Linked DNA regions of Macaca fascicularis. The protein of the gene in region 3 binds, or shares a complex with, the protein of the main gene of each other region. Links are inferred from orthologs where the notes say so. Each region holds a gene or a part of one and is shown on either strand. Other genes may lie near its edges.

Region 1 (7,930 bases), on a different chromosome or scaffold from region 3:
CGGAGTTAGTGTAGCTTCCTGGAGCCCTTGTCAAGGTCTCCACAGAGGTGTGAGAGTGAGACTGATAACCAAAGTCATTAGCTGACCTGATTCTCAGCCCTGGAGGATCACAGGGAGAGAGGAGGATGTGAGCAAATCACCATCATCAGCCAAATGATGTTACGCTAAAAACGTGTTAGTGGCCGGGTGCGGTGGCTCAAGCCTGTAATCCCAGCACTTTGGGAGGCCAAGGCCGGCGGATCACGAGGTCAAGAGATCGAGACCATCCTGGTCAACATGGTGAAACCCCATCTCTATTAAAAATATAAAAATTAGCTGGGCGTGGTGGCGGGCGCATGTAGTCCCAGTTACTCAGGAGGCTAAGGCAGGAGAATCACTTGAACCCAGGAGGCAGAGGTTGCAGTGAGCCAAGATCACACCATTGCACTCCAGCCTGGGCGACAGAGCCAGACGCCATCTCAAAAAAAAAAAAGAAAGAAAGAAAGAAAAAAAAAAAAAGTGTGAATTCAGCACCAGGCTGGCACCTCGTAGACATGCTAATTCATCATGAGTGTCATGTCTGCACTCTCAGCCCTCTAAAATCTCTCTGTTGAAGCGGAGCGGCCCACCATCATCACTGAGTATATTAACTCAGGTGTTGGAATTCCCCAGATGTGTTTAATCTGTATAGCTTTGTATTTTAAGGCAGAACTTTATTCTCAGTTATTCATCTCAAAATCAGAGTTTTGGGAAAAGGGATGATTCTCCTACAAAAGTTCCCAAGTGTACCCTGAATAATTAAAATGCTAAAACTTTTCTTTTTTTTTTTTTTTTTTTTGAGATGGAATCTTGCTGTTACCCAGGCTGGAGTGCAGTGGTACGATCTCAGCTCACTGCAACCTCCGCCTCCTGGGTTCAAGAGATTCTCCTGCCTCAGCCTCCTGAGTAGCTTCGATTATAGGTATGCACCACAATACCCGGCTGATTTTTAAACAGTCTTTATCCCCTTAGCATATCACCTATAACATATGCATTGGAAATTCATTGCATTTTTATTGGTAAAAATAACAATGTGTAAAGTCCTGAATTTGGATTTCCTCAGAAAAATGTACAGGCGTATAAAATGCAAACTCCAGGTATAAAATGTAAAATATTTCATCTACTGAATAGAACTGGTGTACATATTCGGTTATCCTTAACACTTCAGCCTGCAACCATGGGGAAGGTGTCTGAGCTTTGGATGGAAGTTGCAGCTCCCCGGCAGTATGACCTTGGACAAATCACTAAATGTTCTAAGCCTCAGTTTCCTTATTTGTACAATGCAGGTAATCGTGACTACTTTAAAGGTTGTTATAAAACTTTAAAAAAGTCTATCTATAAAGCAAGTAACATGCATTAGAGGCTTTCATCAAATGGTTATTATTATTGATAATCTGAGTTTAATTGTGCCTTTGCCACTTTACTAATCCCTGAGCCATGAGATGGGGCAAGGTTGCTGTGAGGATTAAGAGAGATGGGGTGTATTACCCCTATCACAGGTCTGACTAGAGCAGGAACTTGTTAGATGCTACCACAGGGATGCCTCAGCCAACGGGTGGAGAGGAGGTTTATAACAATGAGTGTGTGTGTGTGTTTTAATCATTTCAGAATGATCATGGGCTGAAACTGGATGGGGCACTCACTTGAGCTGCCAGGGAGCTAATTGTCCCTGCATCTCATTCCCCTTTTTTCTACTCCAGTCCTTGACAGCAAAACAAGGTCCTACATGACACAGAGAAATTAGGAAGCAAAGCCATTATTTTTTTGGTTCAGCTGATAAAAGACTGGCTCTCCCTCAAAACACTAGACCAGCCAAGTAGAAAAAAAAAAAAGATTTTCTTAAGAAAACAACAAAACCCAGATGGAATAATCACAATAAAGAGGAGGTCAGGTCCTCCAAGGAGCTCGGATGAATTGGGGGAATCCCTCAGGTATTTTTTTTTTTTTTAAGTGCCAGGCCAAATAAGATGGAGATTTACTGGAGTCACACTGTGTGGACACCAGCCTAACCTGGGCCTACTTTTTCTCAAGGATGCAGGCCAGATGCCAGCCTTGGCCTCTCTTTGCTCAGAAACTACCTGACTCCCTGCCCCAGGACTCCACGGCCATGACCTCTCTCTGGGAAAAGTTGCTACTATTTGCTACTGGGGAAACCAGGAGACCACCCCAGGGCTGGCCAAGGTGAGCAGGCTGAGCGTTCCAAGAGACTCACCTGGGACATTTGCAAACACGTTTTCGGTTCCCTGGATAAGGAAAAAGAAGGGAAAAAGTGAGTGCCCCCATCCACCAATAGTCCCCAAAGACAGTGTTTTTGTTTTGTTTTGTTGTTGTTGTTGTTGTTGCTGCTGCTGTTTTTTGGTTTTACAAAAAATCATTTCAGAACGATCATGGGCTGAAATTGGATGAGGCAAATAGGCAATGGCCCCTACGAATTCTCCTTCCTTTCCCCTATTTCTTTGAGGATTATAACTCTTGAGAGCCCGGTAAGGGCTTCTTACCCATCCTTCGTCTCAAGCATCCATTTTTTTAAAATTGCAACTACAGACGCGGGCGGAAGCAGGGAGCCTGCAGACCTGACCCGGTACCTCCCTTGCATGGGACCCAAAGCAGAGTAGGCGGTTCGCGGGAAGAGGGCCAAGGACGAACCTCAAACTGGTCGTGGTTTTGACTTAACCCCCCTGGGCACTTGACCCAGGGGCACAGCGGCCCCCTCCTGGCGGGCATTTGTCGTGTGTCCCGACATGTGCGCGCGCTGCGGGCTTCGCTGACCGAACACACCCGCTGCAGCGGCTCTGGGAACAGGGCTTTGTCTCCCAAAACCTCTCTGAGAGCGCAAGGAGCGGGAAGGGCTTTCGCGCATTCTATCTCCAGGAAAGAAGTGCCTGTACCTGCGGGGCAGCTCGGGAGTCCCAGAAATCTCAACCCCACACCCCGCAAGGTCCGCCTGGAGCTAGCAGCGCCAAAGGCAGGAGCAGAGCCGTCTCCTCCCGGCCGCGATTCCTCGGGACTTACTGTGGTTGCAGTAAAGGGTGATGACCAGTGACAGGAGAAGGACCCCGCAGGCCCCGGCCAAGGGCGCCCAGATGTAGATATCACAGGCGAAGTCCAGCCCTCTTGTGTTCACTGACGACACCAAAGACGCCGACATTTAGGAGCGGGCCCGGGACCTCTCAACCGCCCCACCATCCCAGGCACGTCTCTCCACCTCAGGACTCGGTTTCCCACCACTTGGATAGCCCTTGACCTACAGTATCAGGGCTCCCCTTGGCATGGGCTCTCCCCGCGGTCCGTGCCGCCCCCGCCCCGAGCCCCCGCACGCCTCACCTGAGCCCCCCGCCGCTGGCCGGCACGCCTCTGGGCGCAGGGAAAGGGGCTGCGACGCGGTGGTGGGCGCCGGTGTGGGGGGTCGCGGCGCTGGCGTAGTGGTGGGCTTCGCTGCAGGGGCAACAGAGCGTGGTTGGGGGCCAGTCTGGGATTATGGACGCGCCCCCGCCCCGGCCCCAGCCTCGCGCGCCTTTCCCCACGGGAACACCTCCCCCCCGGTTTTCCTGGGAGAAGGGATGGCAGAGGAGACGGGATGGGTACCTCGGAATGCGCGCGGACCCCTGTGCTCGGGCCTTGGCTTAGCCAAGCGCACGCGGCGCCCGGCCCGAGCGTAGGAGCCCGCTCCCCTGCACCTGTCCTCTCTCCCGGGCAACCAGCAACCCTGGAGCGCGGGTTGATTGCTGTCCGCATTTTACCCACGAACAAACGGAGGCGTAGAGAATTTAAGTCATTTGCCCAAAACCACACAAGCATCCGAACTCGAGCCCAGATCGGCCGGACGTAAAACACTATTCCTAGTCCCTACTCAGCCGCACGTTAGCCTCAGTTTGCTGTGTCTGTGAAATGGGAACAATATCTAAGTCTCTTCCAGGTGCCCTAAGAGGCTTGAAAGCAGGACCTGTGTGTGGAAAACAGGTTGAGGTGAACCCCAAGCCCCACGCGGAGAGGTGCCGCACCCCGCGCCCGGACCTGGCAGGAAGACCGGCACGAAGCGGCTGAAGTACATGATGGAGTTGCTCAGGGCCGAGCAGAAATAGTAGCCCTCGTTCTCTTGGCGGAAGTCACGTAGGGTGAGGACGAAGGTGTCCCCCAACCTCTTGCCCGAGAACCGCTGGGTGTCCAGCCCCTCCGCCGCCTTGGGCTTGTTTTGGGAGAGGTATAGGAGGAAGGTGGGGCGGGCGGCGGTGCCGCGCGGCTGGAAGAGCCACGAGCAGCCCGACGTCGGGTTGGACAGCAGCACCTGGCACTTCAGCTCCACCGTCTCTCCCAGGTTCCAGGTCCGACCCAGCGGCGACACTCGGAACTGGCTTGGCCTGGCGGCGTCTGCAGGCAGCAGGAAGCGAGGCTGAGCCCCGAGTCCCGCGCCCCCCGCCCGCCCCATCCCCTGCCTTTCCGGGGGTCGCAAACTCACGGAGCAGCAAGACCAGCGGCAGGAGCAAGGCGGTCACGGGTGGGGCCATGACGCGCTCCCCAGGACGCGGCTCGGCTCGAAGCTCGGGCGCCACGGGAGGCGCGCGGGAGCCGGTGGGGAGCGGAGGGGGGGAAGTTGCGCCCTTCGGCCGGCCTGGAGCCTGATTTCGCATTTGGAGGATGTGATGTCACCCGAAGCCCCCGCCGAGGAGAGTCACCCTCCTTTTCGCGGTTGTCGCCTTCCAGCCCGGTGAGGAGTCTGGGGCCTGTGAATGGGGCCGTCGAGGCAGCCTGGTCAGGCAACTGGGGGCAGCTGAAAACTGCAGGTTCGGGGATGAGGAAAAGGGCTTGGAAATAGTCCCTGGAAATGGTTGTGTTAGGAGAGTGACAGAGTGGGTGAAGGGAGATCAAAGATTTCAAGAAGTGAGGGCGAGAGTCGGCAGGAAAGGAGGGGAGTGTCCCTTCCTTTGCCTTCACTAAAGGCGTCTCTTATACTGTCACCCTTTTTGTTGGCAAAATGGGCACTGAGGGCTGAAAAGGAAGAGGAGCTAGCCACCTGCCCGCTTCTCAGGAACTCGCGCAGAGCAGCCCCAGTGTTCACCGAGGAAGGGCCCTCTCCCTTCCCCCAGGAAATTTCCATGAGGGCGGCAGCAGCCGAAGCTTTGGGTGGCAGTGTCAGTGCGCTGCTGACCTCATCCTTCCGGCCTTTCATCCAGCGGCTAAACTCACCAAACAGTCGCATCTCTTCTTGGAGTCTTTGCAACAGCCCCCACACTAGTCTCTCTCCTGACCAGTCCTCCAGCCACGTTGTTATAAAAATTATTCTCATAAAGGGGATCTAACAGCGTCACTCCTGCAGCCTCCCATGGCCTGCATTGCTGGATGGAAACTCAACCCTCAGCTTGGTTGACCAGCCCTTGGGTGCTGGCTCCTCCCAGCCTCCGCACAGCCCCCTGCCCTGCCTTTCCCAAACACCTGCAGCTGCAGCTGCAGCTTCACAGGCTTGAGGTTATTCAACCCCTGCGCTCTGTGCTTTCACGCCCTTGCACTTGCTGTAGATCTGCCTGGAATGCTGGTCTGTGAAAGCCCTGGAGGCAGCTCCTGTGCAGTCTCATTTGGACCTCATTTCTTTCACCCCCAGCTCTGGGCGCTCGGCGGGGAGGTGTGGGTGACGTGGGTGAATGCTTGGGTAGAGGCAGTTTTCTCTCTTCTGTCCCTAGCACACATGTGTCCCCTTCCTTTCTGTTTCTTTCTTTCTTTCTTTCTTTTTTTAAAGACTGGAGTCTCGCTGTTTTACTCAGGCTGGCCTTGGGACTCCTGGGCTCCAGTGATCCTCCTGCCCCAGCCTCCTGAGTAGCTGCGACTACAGGCTCATCCTTCCTTTTTGCCTGTTTCTGTCCTGAAACCTTCTAACCCCAGTGGCATGCCCTCTTCCCATTTCTTCCGGGCTTCTGAATCTTTCCACTTTGAATCCCACTGTGGCTGCACCTCACATTACTACTGCTTGATCCTAGAGACAAGACACCTGGCATTCTGTGTTCCACATGTCTGTCTGCCCCACCTATGAGTTCTGCTGGGTGAGGACCATGCCCCAGACTTCATGATGTGTCCTCCATCCCCAGAAACACAGCATGGGCTGAGCTGTGCTTGTTGAACTACACTCTCCTTATCCTTGTGAGGCCCAAACTTAAGTGTTGGATGGTTTTCTGTTGTTGTTGTTGTTGCTGTTGGTTGGTTGTTTTTTTGAGATGGAGTCTGGCTTTGTTGCCCAGGCTGGAGTGCAGTGGCACGATCTCAGCTCACTGCAGCCTCTACCTCCCAGGCTCGAGTGATCCTTCCACCTCAGCCTCCCAAGTAGCTGGGACCACAGGTGCGCACCACCATGCCGGGCTGAGTTTTTGCATTTTTGGTAGAGATGGGGTTTCACCATGTTGCCCAGGCTGGTCTCCAATACCTGAGGTCAAGTACTCTGCCCCGCCTTGGCCTCCAAAGTGTTGAGATTACAGGTGTGAGCCACCATATCGGGGCCTGGATGGGCTTTTTTTTCTTTTTTTAATTATTTGGATTTCAGTACCTCCTTCCAGCTCCCTCAAAGCATCCAAGATGCTTATTCTAACATGGAACATGTAACGTTTTATATTCTGAAATTTAAAAAAATGTCTTTTAAGTGACAACAGTGCAATATATTATTGTACAAAAACAAACACAAAGTCCCCTGTCTCAACTCTCATCACTGTCATCTGCTCCCCACAGAAAACCACTGTTACAGTTGAATGTGTCCCTCAGATATTATCTGTACCTAAACAGATGTTTATACATCATCTTAGACACGTGGGATTGTATAAGATATGTATTTTTGCAAGATATTTTGTTTCACAGTGGAAGGAGAACTTTCAGCAGATGTAGATCCACCTCATTCTTATAAATGGGGGCATTTTATGTGGGTGTTCCATAATGTAATTCTGCTGTTAGTGGACATTTAGGCAATTTCTCATTATTGCAACACTAGCAAGGCTGTAGTAGATATAATGTATCTGTATCACTGAGGGCTTGCACCAGTACCTGCAGCTTTTTCAGATGGAAGATGAGGTAGCTGGGAAAGAAAACACCTTTGCAATGATGGTTATAACTGGCATATCGATGTATGCATGTGTGTGTGTGTATGTGTGTGCGTGTGTGCATGGTATGTGGGTCCCTCGCTGTGTAGACGCAGTGCTGTCCCTCAACTCACATGAATGAGGGAGACAAGGAAGAAATCAAGTCCAGACAGGCCACCAACACATCAATCCTTGCTGTAGATGGTAGTTTGCCATTTTGCTCAGTACCACCAGCACTGTATCAGGAGTGTCAAATGGCCCTGCTGGCCAAAGGCTACAATCAAGAGGGTGGTAAGGAAGATGACTAGATACGAAACTGCACTTGCCCAGTGGTGGAAGCATGGAGGGGGCCAGAGTCAACCTCCACATATTTGGATCTTGGGAATCAGGACCCTGAGTATGATGATGACCAGATTTGGGGGTGTACTGCTTTAAAATAGAGTAGTTCCATCTTAGTCTTGCGGAAATCAGCTTGGGGGCCTTCTAGCCCTGCAGCTCAGAAAAGTGTCAGCCGGGGGGTGGCAGCCCCTTTGTACAGAGCACCACGGGGGTTGGAGGGGAGAGGACAAGGCAACATGTCAAACCCATCAAGGAGGCTTTGTGACCCCAATGATATTTTTTGCAGAATGTGGTGGATTTTCGATGTAACCACAATGACATCCGCCTTGCAGTAGGCAGAACAGATGCAATTGCACGAGTTCTGGAGACACTTTCTGTAGACCAGGTGTGCAGAGGGCTGGGTTGGGCCTATCCATCACTTCCAGGTAAACTCCCAAACCCCACACTGCAGCACTCACTTGGGATGGCATGAAGAAATGTGAATGACTGCACTCCTTTAAGCAAGCTCCTTATTTTAAAAA
Region 2 (7,169 bases), on a different chromosome or scaffold from region 3:
AGTTTCACAATGTTGACCGAGCTGGTCTCGAACTTCTAGGCTCAAATGATCCTCCACTTCAGCTTCCTGAGTAGATGGAACTACGGGTGCATGCCACCAAGCCCTGACTTAGATGCTATGTAGATGAAACTTTGGACATTAGACTTTGGAGTTGATGCTGGAATGAGTTAAGACTTTGGAGGCTATTGAGATGGAATGAATGCATTTTTCATGTAATAAGGACACAAATTTGAGGGGGCAGTGCAGAATACCATGGACCAAATTGAGTCCCCCACAAATTCACATGTTGAAGCCCTCACCCTCAGTGTGATGATATTTTGATATATGGCCCTTGGGAGGTAATTCAGTTTAGATGAGGTTATGAGAATGGGGCCATCATGATGGGATTAGTGTCCTTATAGGAAAAGACATCAAAAAGCTTTCTTTCTCACCGGTCGTGGTGGCTCATGCCTGTAATCCCAGCACTTTGGGAGGCTGAGGTAGATGGATCATCTGAGGTCAGGAGGTCAAGGCTGGCCGGACCAACAGAGCGAAACCCCGACTCTACTAAAAACACAAAAATTGGCTGGGTGTGGTAGCAGGCACTATAATCCCAGCTACTTGGGAAGCTGAGGCAGGAGAATCACTTGAACCTGGTAGGTGAAGGTTGCAGTGAGCTGAGATCATGCCATTGCACTCCAGCCTGGGCAATACGAGTGAGGCTCTGTCTGAGAAAAAAAAAAACACATAAAAACACGCACACACACAAGGAGGCCGAGTGCGGTGGCTCATGCCTGTAATCCCAGCACTTTGGGAGACTGAGGCAGGAGGATCACTTGAGGTCAGGAGCTCTAGAGTACCCTGGCCAACATGGTGAAACCTCGTTTCTACTAAAAATACAAAAAAATTAGCCGAGTGCGGTGGCAAGTGCCTGTAAACCCAGCTACTCGGGAGGCTGAGGCAGGAGAATTGCTTGAACCCAGGAAGCAGAGATTGCAGTGAGCCAAGATCGGGCCACTGCACTCCAGCCTGGGCAACAGAGCGAAACTCCATCTCAAAAAAAGAGAAAGTTTTCTTCTGTTTCTCTCTGCCATGTGAGGACACAGCAAGAAGGCAACTGCCTGCAAACTAGGAAGAGATCCCTCATAATCTGACCATGCTAGCATCCTGAAATCAGAATTGTGATAAATAAATTTCTGTTGTTTAAACCACCCAGTCCATGGTATTTTGCTATGGCATTCCTAAGAGACTAAACTAAAAAAATACAAAAATTAGCTGGGCGTGGTGGTGCATGCCTGTAGTTCCAGCTACTTGGGAGGTTGAGGCAGGAGAATTGCTTGAACTTGGGAGGCAGAGGTTGCAGTGAGCTGAGATCGTGCCATTGCACTCCAGCCTGGGTGACAGAGCAAGACTCCGTCTCAAAAAAAAAAAAAGTTAGTCTAATAATTGATAGTCTCATTATGGTATAGCTTAAGGAAGGAGTAGGATAACAGGTATATACAGTATGATATCATTTACATAATTATATATATAATATTATCCACACTGACCAAGAGTGGAAGAAAATAGGCCACATGCAGTGGCTTATACCTATTTTCCCAGCACTTTGGGAGACCAAAATGGGATCACTTGAGCCTAGGAATTCAAGACCAGCCTGAGCAACATGGTGAAATCTCATCTCTACAAAAAATTAAAAATTAGGTGAACATGGTGGCGTGCACCTGTAGTCCCAGCTCCCGGGAAGGCTGACGTGGGAGGATAACTTGAGCCTGCAATGTGTTGTGGTCATGCCACTGCACTCCAGCCTGGGCAACAGAGTAAGACCCTGTCTCAAAAAGGAAAAAAAAAAAAAGAAACATTGGATGAAAATAAATCAAAATGTTAGCAGAGGATATCTCTGAGTGGTAGAAGTATGCATGCATTTGATTTTCTTCCATGTTCTTTCCTTCGTTGACCAAATATTTTGTGATGAGCATATAATACTTTAAATCAGGAGAAAAGGCCGAGTGCAGTAGCTCATGCCTATAATTCCAGCACTGTGGAAGGCTAAGGCAGGCGAATCACTTGAGGTGAGGAGTTCGAGACCAACCTGGCCAATATGATCAAACCCTGTCACTACTAAAAATACACAAATTAGGCATGGTGGCACACGCCTGTAGTCCCAGCTACTCAGGAAGCTGAGGCAGGAGAATGGCTTTAACCCGGGAGACAGAGCTTGCAGTGAGCCAAGATCATGCCCACTGCACTCCAGCCTGGGCAACAGATCGAGAGTTTGCCTCAAAAAAAAAAAAAAAAGTAGAAAAAAAAATTCTGGGCCAGGCACAGTGACTCACGCCTGTAATCCCAGCACTTTGGCAGGCCAAGGCGGGTGGATCATGAGGTCAGGAGATCAAGACCAGCCTGACTAACACAGTGAAACCCTGTTTCTACTAAAAGTACAAAAAATTAGCCAGGCATGGTGGCACATGCCTGTAGTCCCAGCGACTTAGGAGGCTGAGGCAGGAGAATCGCTTGAACCCGGGAGACAGAGGTTGCAGTGAGCCAAGATCACGCTACTGCACTCCAGCCTGGGCGACAGAATGAGACTCCGTCTCAAATAAATAAATAAATAAATAAAATAATAATAATAATTCTGCAATTTTTTTTTTTTTTTTGAAATAGAGTCTTGCTCTGTCACCCAGGCTGGAGTGCAATGGTGCAATCTCAGCTCACTTCAGCCTTTGCCTCCCAGGTTCAAGTGATTCTCCTGCCTCAGCCTCCTGAGTAGCTGGGAATACAGGCCTGCACCACCACGCCCGGCTAATTTTTGTATTTTTAGTAGAGACCAGGTTTCACCATGTTGGCCAGGCTGGTCTTGAACTCCTGACCTGCGGTGATCTGCCCACCTCAACCTCCCAAAGTGCTGGGATTACAGGTGTGAGCCACTACAGCTAGCCTTTTTTTTTTAATTAAAAAAATTTTTTTGGCTCGGCATGTAATCCCAGCACTCTGAGAGGCCAAGGTTAGTGGATCACTTGAGCTCATGAGTTCGAGACCAGCCTGGCCAACATGGTGAAACCCTGTTTCTACAAAAAATACAAAAATTAGCCAGGCACGGTGGTGCATGCCTGTAGTCCCAACTACTTGTGAGGCTGAGGTGGGAGGATGACTTGAGCCTGGGAGGTGGAGATTGCAGCGAGCCGAGATCACACCACTGCAATGGAGCTTGGGTGATAGAACCAGACCTTGTCTCTCTCTCTCTCTCTCTCTCTCTCTCTCTCTCTCTCTATATATATATATATATATATATATATATTTTTTTTTTTTTTTTTTTTTTTTTTTTTTTTGTAGAGACAGAGTCTCACTATGTTTCTCAGGGTGGTCTTGAACTCCTGGACTCAAGCAATCCTCCAGCCTCGGCCTCCCACAGTGCTAGGATTACAGATATGAGTCACTGTGCAAAATATTATCTACATGGGTCTGTAGCAACAATACTCAAGAAATCATGGGTGTTAAGTGGTAGTGATTGTTGTAAAACTCACTAAAATAAGTTCATGAATATTAAAATATTCAAATTAACATACCACCAAAAGCCTTTCCCTGGGCCACCAGCAGTTGGTGTAGGGAAACTCTGGACAAGAATGCCACTGAGTTTCTGTCAACCCCAGCCCTCTGGGATCCCAAAGTTTAACTAAGAGCAGATCTCAGACACCAAAGGCTTTCAATCCATAGTGTGTTTTCCTCCCTGGATGGGGGGCCAGGGAGCCCTACCTTTAGTTAAGAAGGAGCCCTGAATTCCCAGAATCTTTATCTGGTTGGAGTTTTTCCAGTGGAATTGTGTGTTCTTCTTCTGCGAAGCATTACAGGTCAGTTCCACTGTATCCCCTTTCTTGCCCAGCACCACTTTCTTTCCCTGGGTGACTGCTGGGAGTAGCGCTGGGTGGAAAAGAAAGGAGTCAGGTCCCAATGCTGCCGCTGTCCCCCTCTACCCCATCCTCCACCTTTGCCTTTCCTCCCACGCCATCTGCATTGAGACCCCAGGTCTGAGAACTTACCCAGTTGCAGCACCAGAAGCAAGTGCCTAAAAGGGATTCCCCGGTTCATTGTGGCCTTGCTGAGGGAGGCAGGGGCTTGAGCCAGTAGGGACCTGAGCCTGCAAAAATGGCAGGGCCTGAGGGAAATACCAATCATTAGTCAGCAAACATTTATTTGACCTGGAGTATACAGGGGCCATATGCAACCTCTCCCTCAGGACCCTTGCAGCCAGCCCAGTGAACTTGAGGTAGGAGAACAGCAGAGGGAATTGGAGGTTGGATTAAGGAAGGAATGAGTAGGAGCACAAGCAAGAGAAAGAAGGAAGTGAGCAAAAACAGAAGTAAGATAAATAAGTGAATAAGGAGCCCCATGGCTGGCTAGATCCAAACCAAACCAGTAAGGAGGAGCTCCTAAGAGATGGGCATGTACTGGGCTGGGTGCAGTGGCTCATGCTTGTAATCCCAGCACTTTGGGAGTCCAAGGTGGGTGGATCACTTGAGGTCAGGAGTTCAAGATCAGCCTGGCCAACATGGTGAAACCCTGACTCTACTAAAAATACAAAAATGAGCCGGGCATGGTGGCATACACCTGTAGTCTCAGGTACTCAGGAGGCTGAGGCAGGAGAATCACTTGAACCAGGGAGGTGGAGGTTGCAGTGAGCCGAGATTGTGCCACTGCACTCTAGCCTGGAGGACAGAACGAGACTCCTCAAAAAAAAAAAAAAAAAAAAGCACATGTACTCCAGAGAAAAGAAGATATCCTTAAAATGACCCCATATAGTAATTGGCTACTTAAGGTTCAGAGTGCATATCATGCATGTACTTAAAATTATGGGAAGGAGGTGACACACAAGCACACAGAGGCCAAGAAACTGAGCAACTCACCTGTCAATCAAAAGGCACATGCCAGCTAAAGATTAGGCAGCTTGAGGAAGAAGAGAAAAAGACACATAGAAAAGGCATGAAGTATAACAAACCATAACTGACACCATTCGCTGGTCATCCTCGATCCATAGTGGATTGTACCGTGCTTAATAAACTTTTTGCTGTTTTGCTATTTGTGTGTGTCATGTCCAATTCTTTGTTTGTGGCACCAACAAATGATGGTTGTGGGACTTCACAACATCAGTTGGTAACAAACTAAACTTGCACACTCCTAACTGGATGCTCGGAGATACACACCACGAAATGCTATGCTCAGGCCAGGAGGGGGTTCTTTGCTGGGATGAGTGAAGAGGGGATCAGAAAAGGATGCACGGAGAAGGTGACAAATTGGTGGGGAGACCATGGAGCCAGGCCAGGACGTGGAAATGCTTGAAGGCTGTGCTGAGATGCTGCGACTGGATCCTGGGCACTAGAGAGCCAGCAGAGGATTTTCTATAGAGAAGAAGGTGATTAGATTTGCCACGTGGACCCCTGAAGCTGCTGAGTGAAAGAACTGGAGGAGGTGAGGCACCAAAGGCAGGACTGCAACCATCCTGGTGAACAAAGGGCCTGAGCCAAGTGGCTGTGGGAATGTGTGGGACAGTTCTAAGGTGACATTCCCAAGGATTGGGGCCTGATATAGTGTGAGAGGTGTGGGGAAAAGAAAGAGAGATCAGATTGTTACTGTGTCTGTGTAGAAAAAGAAAGACATTGACCGGCTGCGGTGGCTCACACCTGTAATCCCAGCATTTTGGGAGGCCGAGGCAGGCAGATCACCTGAGGTTAGGAGTTCATGACAGCCTGACCAACATGGAGAAACCCCGGCTCTACTAAAAATACAGAATTAGCCAGGCGCGGTGGCACACGCCTGTAATCCCAGCTACCAGGGAGGCTGAGGCGGGAGAATTGCTTGAACCCGGGAGGCAGAGGTTACTGTGAGCTGAGATTGTGTCATTGCAGTACAGTCTGGGCAACAAGAGCAAAACTCCGTCTCGGGGGAAAAAAAAAAAAAAAAGAAGACATAAGAAACTCCGTTTTGATCTGTACTAAGAAAAATTGTTCTGCTTTGAGATGCTATTAATCTGCAACTTTTGTCCCAAACCTGTGCTCACAAAAACATGTGCTATATTGAATCAAGGTTTAATGGATCTAGGGCTGTGCAAGATGTGCTTTAAAAAAGTTCTTGCAGGCCGGGCGCGGTGGCTCACACCTGTAAACCCAGCACTTTGGGAGGCCGAGGCGGGCAGATCACGAGGTCAGGAAATCGAGACCATCCTGGCTAACACGGTGAAACCCTGTCTCTACTAAAAAATACAAAAAACTAGCCGGGCGAGGTGGCGGGCGCCTGTAGTCCCAGCTACTCGGGAGGCTGAGGCAGGAGAATGGCGTGAACTCGGGAGGCGGAGCTTGCAGCGAGCTGAGAGCACGCCACTGCACTCCAGCCTGGGTGACAGCAAGACTCCATCTCAAAAAAAAAAAAAAAGTTCTTGCAGGCAGTATGCTTGGTGAAAGTCATTGCCATTCTCCATTCTCTATTAACCAGAGACACAATGCACTGTGGAAAGCTGCAGGAACCCCTGCCCGAGAAAGCCTGGGTATTGTCCAGGATTTCCCCCCTGAGACAGCCTGAGATATGGCCCCACGGGAAGGGAAAGACCTTACAGCCCCGCAGCCCCACAGCTGTAAAGGGTCTGCGCTGAGGAGGATTAGTGAAAGAGGAAGGCCTCTATGCGGTTGAGATAAGAGGAAGGTATCTGTGTCCTGCGCGTCCCTGGGAATGGAATGACTCGGTGTAAAACCGATCATACATTCCATTTTGAGAGAGGAGAAAACTGCCTTATGGCTGGAGGAGATACATCATGGCAGCAACACTACTCTGTTACTCTTTACTGTACTGAGATGTTTGTGTAAAGTTAAACATAAATCTAGCCTATATGCACATCCAGGCACAGCACCTTTCCTTAAACTTATTTATGACACAGAGTCTTTGCCCACATGTTTTTCTGCTGACCCTCTCCTCACCTTCACCCTAGAGCCCCACCACATTCCCCTTGCCGACATAGTAAAGATAGTGATCAATAAATACTGAGGGAACTCAGAGACCAGCACCAGTGCAGGTCCTCACTTGCTGAGTGCTGGTCCCCTGGGCCCCATTTTCTTCCTCTATACTTTGTCTCTGTGTCTTATTTCTTTTCTCAGTCTCTCAGTCTCCACCTTGCAAGAAATACCCACAGGTGTGGAGGGCAGGCCCCT
Region 3 (7,169 bases):
AGACCCAGAAGCCCCAGAAGCCATGGTGGGAGGACGAGTGGGAGGTTCCCAGGGAGACGCTGAAGCTGGTGGAGCGGCTGGGGGCTGGACAGTTCGGGGAGGTGTGGATGGGTGAGTGTGGCCTCCAGGACTGCCCGGGAAGAGGGGAACGGGAGGGGCTGCTGAGGTGGTGAGAGTCCCAGGACAGCTGCCTGGCGACTCTCCCACTCCTTCCCTTCCCCGATCCAGGGTACTACAACGGGCACACAAAGGTGGCAGTGAAGAGCTTGAAGCAGGGTAGCATGTCCCCAGACGCCTTCCTGGCCGAGGCCAACCTCATGAAGCAGCTGCAACACCAGCGGCTGGTTCGGCTCTACGCTGTGGTCACCCAGGAGCCCATCTACATCATCACTGAATACATGGAGAATGGTGGGTGCCGCCCGAGTCGGCTGCCGGGGGACACTGCTCTCCCCGCTGTCCCTGCCGGAGGGTGAAAGTACACCTTTTTTTCTGGCCCAAAGCTCAAGCAAGGAGGGTTTATTGAGCTTTCCTGGCCCCTAAAGACTCACCTCCAGCTGGGCGCAGTGGCTCAGGCCTGTAATCCCAGCACTTTGGGAGGCTGAGGCCAGCAGATCACGAGGTCAGGAGTTCGAGACCAGCCTGACCAACATGGTGAAACCCCGTCTCTACTAAAAATACAAAAATTAGCCAGGTGTGGTGGCGCATGCCTGTAATCCCAGCTGCTCAGAAGGCTGAGGCAGGAGAATCCCTTTAATCTGGGAGGATGAGGTTGCAATTGCAGTGAACCAAGATCATGCTACTGAACTCCAGCCTGGGTGACAGAGCTCTGTCTCAAAAAAAAAAAAAAAAAAAAAAAAAAAAGGCCGGGTGCAGTGGCTCACAGCTGTAATCCCAGCACTTTGGGAGGCTGAGACGGGCGGATCACCAGGTCAGGAGATCGAGACCATCCTGGCTAACACGGTGAAATCCCGTCTCTACTAAAAAATACAAAAAATTAACCAGGCGTGGTGGTGGGCACCTGTAGTCCCAGCTACTCAGGAGGCTGAGGCAGGAGAATGGCGTGAACCCGGGAGGCGGAGCTTGCAGTGAGCCGAGATCGCGCCACTGCACTCCAGCCTGGGCGACTGAGCAAGACTCCATCTCAAGAAAAAAAAAAAAAGAAAAAAAAAAAAAGACTCACCTCCAGGCATGTGAAAAAGGTATATCCTCTGATCCTGTCTGGGGGCGAGCCTAAGGTAGCAAGAATGTTCTGGAAGAGCATTCACCCCAACCTGCCCTGACCTGCCATTCTGTTTACCTTCTTCAAAGCCCTACCTTGATCTCAGGATGCTTGATCTCAGAAAGCGAATGGGTCCCTACCCCTGTTTCTCTCCCTTCTGCCCCTGAGCTTTGGGAGGGCAGATCTGCCCCGGAAGCCCTCTTTTTCAGTTCTGAGTGAGCCCCCCCACCCCGCACCCTTCTTGGTCTGATACTGGACAGAGTGAGAGCCCCAGGAAGAGGAATACGAGTTTCTAGCCTCAGCTTTGTTCACACCGATTTGCTGTGTGACAGGCCAAGTGCCTGCACTGTCTCTGGTGCTCAGTTTCCTCAAGAATAACAGCAGAAATCTAAATGGGCTCACCAGAATTAATACAGAGTATTCATCAAGGCCTCTAGCGTCTGACTGCCTGGGTCAGAAGTCTGGCTTCATGATTTTATGGCTTTGTGATAATTACATCACCTCTTTCTGTCATGGTTTCCTACTATAATAATGCATTAGTAACCTCCTCATAGGGTCTTGTGAGGATGAAATAATTAATGCATATATAGCAGTTAGAACTATGCCTACTTTAGGCCGGGTCCAGTGGCTCACGCCTGTAATCCCAACACTTTGGGAGGCCAAGGTGGGCGGATCATAAGGTCAGGAGATCGAGACCATCCTGGCTAACACAGTAAAACCCCATCTCTACTAAAAATAAAAAAAATTAGCCTGCGCGGTGGCGGGCACTTGTAGTCCCAGCTGCTCAGGAGGCTGAGGCAGGAGAATGACGTGAACCCAGGAGGCAGAGTTTACAGTGAGCCAAGATCGCACCACTGCACTCCTGCCTGGGCGATAGAGTGACACTTGGTCTCAAAAAAAAAAAAAAAAAAAAGGACTATGCCTACTTCCAGGTGTAGTGGCTCAAGCCTATAACCTCAGCACTTTGGGAGGCCAAGGTGGGTGGATCACTTGAGCCCAGAAGTTCAAGACCAGTCCGTGCAACATAGCGAGACCTCATTCCTACAAAAAATTTGTAAAAATTAGCCGAGCGTGGTGGTGTATGCCTGTAGTCCCAGCTACTTGGGAGGCTGAAGTGGGAGGACCACTTGAGCCCAGGAGGTTGAGGCTGCACTGAGCTGTGATTGCACCACTGCACTCCAACCTGGGTAACAGAGTGAGACCTTGTCTCAAAAAAACAAAACACAAAAAAACCACAAAACTATGGCTACTATATAGTAACTGATCAATAGGTTTGTCGCTGTTATCTGGCTCTGATTCTTTGGGAGTGTAAGATCTATCCTTCTTTCAGGAAGAGAAACAAGCTGTTCATTGGCTAATGGGAAATCGCAAATAGATTATGTCATGTGTATCTTTTTTTTTTTTTTGTCTCACTCTGTCCTCCAGGCTGGAGTGCAGCGGCACGATCTCAGCTCACTTCAACCTCCTCCTCCTGGGTTCTCATGCCTCAGACTCCCAAGTAACTGGGACCACAAGCATGTGCCACCATGCCTGGCTAATTTTTGTATTTTTAGTAGAGACAGGTTTTCACCTTGTTGGCCAGGCTGCTGTCGATCTCCTGACCTCAGGTGATCCTCCCGCCTTGGCCTCCCAAAGGGCTGGGATTACAGGTGTGAGCCACCATGCCCAGTCTATCATGTGTATCGACTTTGATTGGTGGTTGCTTGTAGCGCTGGAGAAGGATTCTGAGGTTCAATGGAAGTGAGTGCTGGGAATGATTAGTAACATCTGCCATGGACACAATGGAAGAATGGCAGTATATATATGTCTCCGTATTTGCTGTGTGTGGGGGAGGTCTTTGTCTTTGGTAACTAGTTCAGCACTCAAAGTGGGGACACTCAGGTTGCTGTCATCCTTTCACAGGGTTTTTTTTTTTTGAGACAGAGTCTCGCTCTGTCGCCCAGGCTGGAGTGCAGTGGCGTATTCTCAGCTCACTGCAAGCTCCGCTTCCCGGGTTCACGCCATTCTCCTGCCTCAGCATACTGAGTAGCTGGGACTACAGGCGCCCGCCACCGCGCCTGGCTAATTTTTTGTATCTTTAGTAGAGATGGGGTTTCACCGTAGTCTCGATCTCCTGACCTTGTGATCCACCAGCCTCGGCCTCCCAACGTGCTGGGATTACAGGCATGAGCCACCGCGCCCGGCCATTTCACAGGTTTTTTTTTTTTTTTTTTTTGAGACGGAGTCTCACGCTGTTGCCCAGGCTGGAGTGCAGTGGCGCGATCTCGGCTCACTGCAAGCTCCGCCTCCCGGGTTCCCGCCATTCTCCTGCCTCAGCCTCCTGAGTAGCTGGGACTACAGGCGCCCGCCACCGCGCCCGGCTAATTTTTTGTATTTTTAGTAGAGACGGGGTTTCACTGTGGTCTCGATCTCCTGACCTTGTGATCCGCCCGCCTCGGCCTCCCAAAGTGCTGGGATTACAGGCTTGAGCCACCGCGCCCGGCCCACAGGGTTTTAATCTCTTGGGAAGGGCCAGTGGTCATTCACTCCATCCTAGCAACTTCCACTCATGTCCAGCTGCCCTCCACTATTAGAGAGGTGGTCCTTCAGACCCCCAGACCCCCTCTTTCTGTATTCCATCCAATATATTCAGCACATTGTTATTGTTTCTTACTCTGGGCTGGGCACCAGGAACATGGATGGATGAAACAAGGTTCCTGTTGTCAAGGTTCCCCAGTTACAGGTACTGGGGAAACCAGAGTTTGTGCCATGGGAAAGTTCCAGCATGCCCATGGGAGTGTAGATGATGATCCAGTTTATTATGCCTGCTAAGATCTAGAGAGGCTTCCTAGAGGGGCAGTCTAACTGGGCCATGAAAGAAAAGTAGAATTTTTTTTAGCAGGCAGAGATGAAATAAAGAGGCTTTGGGGTGACAGCCTAGTAGTCTGAGTGCAGGATCTCAAAATTGTTAAAGTGTTTGAAGTCAAAGGCAGAGTGAGGGAAAGAGAAGAAGCTACCAGTGTCGCCCATGTCAAGCTTTGGATACTAGTTGAGGAGTCTGAATTCTACCTTATTGATGATGAAAAACCTACAGATCCCTCCCAGCGTGCTCTACCCTAGCCCCTCCCTCTGCAAAAAAACCTTCACATATCCTGGGCATCCTTACCCTGAACACACACTCCTCCATTCTCACTCTTCACTCTTCCTTTTCACATGTCAGACACACTTCCAGACATGTGAAAAGGGTCTGGGAGAAGGGTCTGGGGACCTCCTCCTGGGGCAACTTAGGCCAGCAACTCTTGCTTCTGCCCACAGGGAGTCTAGTGGATTTTCTCAAGACCTCTTCAGGCATCAAGTTGACCATCAACAAACTCCTGGACATGGCAGCCCAAGTAAGGAGACTGGGGAGGGGCTGGGCAAGGGCACAGGCCAGTGGCGTGAAGACATCTGGCTCAGGATTGCTGATCTGTGTTTGTCCTGCAGATTGCAGAAGGCATGGCATTCATTGAAGAGCGGAATTATATTCATCGTGACCTTCGGGCTGCCAACATTCTGGTGTCTGACACCCTGAGCTGCAAGATTGCAGACTTTGGCCTAGCACGCCTCATTGAAGACAACGAGTACACAGCCAGGGAGGGTAAGTGTGAGATTTAAGGGTGATCTGGGCCCTGCAGGGTCTAGCCAAGCAGACCCAGGTGACCTCACTCTGCCTCCTCCTTAGGAGCCAAGTTTCCCATTAAGTGGACAGCGCCAGAAGCCATTAACTATGGGACATTCACCATCAAGTCGGATGTGTGGTCTTTTGGGATCCTGCTGACGGAAATTGTCACCCATGGCCGCATCCCTTACCCAGGTTAGAGCCAAGGGCAGGAACTGAAAGGGTGATGGGAAGGGCAGCAAGTCCATGTCTCCCCACTCAATTCTTTCCAGTCTCAGAATCTGAAACTTTGTAGTTGCATCTCCTCTATCCTTTCAGGGGTATGACTCCAACATCCCAAGGCAGATGCCACATCTCCCAGAGCTGGCTTCCATCTCTGTATCTCTCTTTAATAACCCCAGCTCTTTTCTTTTTCTCTTTTTTTGAGGTGGAGTCTAGCTCTGTCGCCCAGGTTGGAGTGCAGTGGCGCCATCTCGGATCACTGCAACCTCTGCCTCCTGGGTTCAAGCAATTCTCCTGCCTCAGCCTCCCAAATAGCTAGGATTACAGGTGCGTGCCACCATGCCCGGCTAGTTTTTTGTATTTTTAGTAGAGACGGGGTTTCACCATGTTAGCCAGGATGGTCTCAATCTCCTGACCTCGTGATCCACCCGCCTCGGCCTCCCAAAGTGCTGCGATTACAGGCATGAGCCACCGCGCCCGGCCCCAGCTCTTTTCTTTAGTTGTGGCCCAGGCAGCCTAGTATGGTAGAAGAGGATCTAGCTCAGAAACAAGAGGCCTACCTTTTATTAGCAGATCTGCCACTGTTGCTAACTTTCTGTTTGGCTTTGTTCAGATCATTCCTTCTTTCCCATCTGTTCTCATTTCTAATATGAGATTAGAACAGTGCTTGGTCAATACTAAGCTATTATCAATCATCACTTTGAACTAGTCACTTCACTTCTCTGAGTCTCAGTTTCCTGATATTAAAAATAAGAGACTAGGCCAGGTACAGTGGCTCATGCCTATAATCCCAGAACTTTGGGAGACCAAGGTGGGAGGATGGCTTGAGCCCAGAAGTTCGAGACCAGCCTGGGCAACAGGTTGAAACCCCATCTCTACAAAAACAAAAATTAGCCAGGTTTGGTGGCATGTGCCTGTAGTCCCAGCTACTCAGAAGGCTGAGGTGGGAGGATTACCTGAGCCAGGGAGGGAGAGGTTGCAGTGAGCCAAGATCATGCCATAGCACTCCAGCCTAGGGCAACAGACCAAGACCCTGCCTCAAAAAAAGAAAAAGAGAGACTCCATCTCTTCCCCCCCCCAAAAAAAAAAAATTAAAAATTAGCTGGGCATGGTGGCACACACCTGTAGTTTCAGCTTTTTGGGAGGCTGAGGTGGGAGGATCGCTTGAGCCCAGGAGGTTGAGGGTGCAGTGAGCCATGATCGTTCTATTGCACTCCAGCCTGAGCAACAGAGAGAGAACTTGTCTCAAAAAAAAAAAAAAAAAAAAAAAAAGGAAAAATGAGAGACCATTTGTGAAAGAGCCTGACTCATAGTAGGTTGTCAGTATACACTGACTCCCTCACCATCTCCTGGACAAAGCCCTTTACCCCTGAATTCAGCCAAGACAGGGATGGAATTTTTTGAAAGGAACTTGCTAAGAAACTCTGGGGAGAGGAAATGGAGCACAAAGACAACGGAGTAGGGAGGCGCGGCACAGTGGCTAAATTTATAGAAGCGTCCCACATCCCCAGAGTAAGGTGAACAGACCTTTGCTCCAAGGAAGGTAAAGACACCTTGGAAGGCCGGATGTGGTGGCTCACGCCTGTAATCCTAACACTTTGGGAGGCCGAGGCTGGTGGATCACAAGGTCAGGTGTTTGAGACCAGCCTGACCAACATGGTGAAATCCCATCTCTACTTAAAAAAAACAAAATTAAAAATTAGCCGGGCCTGGTGGTGCGTACCGGTAATCCCAGATACTCAGGCGGCTGAGGCAGGAGAATTGCTTGAACCTGGGAGGCAGAGGTTGCAGTGAGCCGAGGTCGTGCCACTGCACTCCAGCCTGGGCGACAAAGCGAGACTCCGTCTCAAAACAAAAACAAAAACAAAAAAACACCTTGGAGACAGGTGAAAAGCTGAGGGGCTTCCCTGCCCTGGGCTTGCCCCAACCCAGAGTCCAGGGGTAGTGCTGGAGCTGGAAATATGGAAATACTCTCCAGTTATCCTGCCAGGGGTCCTCACTGCTCCTCGCCTATTCCCACAGAAGGAAACCCATAGGGAATGTATCTATTAGAAGAAAATAGGCAGTGAAAGCATGATGATAAATGGAAAC

Evidence for each region.
Region 1: the proteins of LCK (region 3) and CD8A are in contact, whole or in part, in an NMR structure (PDB 1Q69), measured with the Homo sapiens proteins. The link is inferred for Macaca fascicularis from reciprocal best matches to the Homo sapiens genes LCK and CD8A. Residues at the interface, in NP_001036236.1 of Homo sapiens: Cys20, Asn22, Cys23, Tyr25, Pro26, Ile27, Val28; in NP_001139345.1 of Homo sapiens: Arg212, Arg213, Val214, Cys215, Lys216, Cys217.
Region 2: the proteins of LCK (region 3) and CD4 are in contact, whole or in part, in an NMR structure (PDB 1Q68), measured with the Homo sapiens proteins. The link is inferred for Macaca fascicularis from reciprocal best matches to the Homo sapiens genes LCK and CD4. Residues at the interface, in NP_001036236.1 of Homo sapiens: Glu15, Ile17, Val19, Cys20, Asn22, Cys23, Tyr25, Pro26, Ile27, Val28; in NP_000607.1 of Homo sapiens: Ala429, Arg431, Ile435, Leu438, Leu439, Lys443, Thr444, Cys445, Gln446, Cys447.

What each region holds. Positions count from the first base shown.
Region 1 is NC_088387.1:23,090,182-23,098,111, reverse strand, and holds the start of CD8A (T-cell surface glycoprotein CD8 alpha chain), read right to left. Parts: upstream 4,643-7,930; 5' UTR 4,524-4,642; coding exon 4,475-4,523; intron 4,387-4,474; coding exon 4,033-4,386; intron 3,454-4,032; coding exon 3,343-3,453; intron 3,142-3,342; coding exon 3,031-3,141; intron 2,262-3,030; coding exon 2,231-2,261; intron 1,741-2,230; coding exon of another isoform or gene 1,710-1,740; exon of another isoform or gene 1,662-1,709; intron 1-1,661. UniProt on the Homo sapiens protein: Integral membrane glycoprotein that plays an essential role in the immune response and serves multiple functions in responses against both external and internal offenses. In T-cells, functions primarily as a coreceptor for MHC class I molecule:peptide complex.
Region 2 is NC_088385.1:7,725,179-7,732,347, reverse strand, and holds part of CD4 (T-cell surface glycoprotein CD4), read right to left. Parts: intron 5,370-7,169; 5' UTR 5,175-5,369; intron 4,130-5,174; 5' UTR 4,063-4,129; coding exon 4,014-4,062; intron 3,895-4,013; coding exon 3,730-3,894; intron 1-3,729. UniProt on the Homo sapiens protein: Integral membrane glycoprotein that plays an essential role in the immune response and serves multiple functions in responses against both external and internal offenses.
Region 3 is NC_088375.1:202,744,672-202,751,840, reverse strand, and holds part of LCK (tyrosine-protein kinase Lck), read left to right. Parts: coding exon 1-111; intron 112-228; coding exon 229-408; intron 409-4,513; coding exon 4,514-4,590; intron 4,591-4,681; coding exon 4,682-4,835; intron 4,836-4,919; coding exon 4,920-5,051; intron 5,052-7,169. UniProt on the Homo sapiens protein: Non-receptor tyrosine-protein kinase that plays an essential role in the selection and maturation of developing T-cells in the thymus and in the function of mature T-cells. Plays a key role in T-cell antigen receptor (TCR)-linked signal transduction pathways.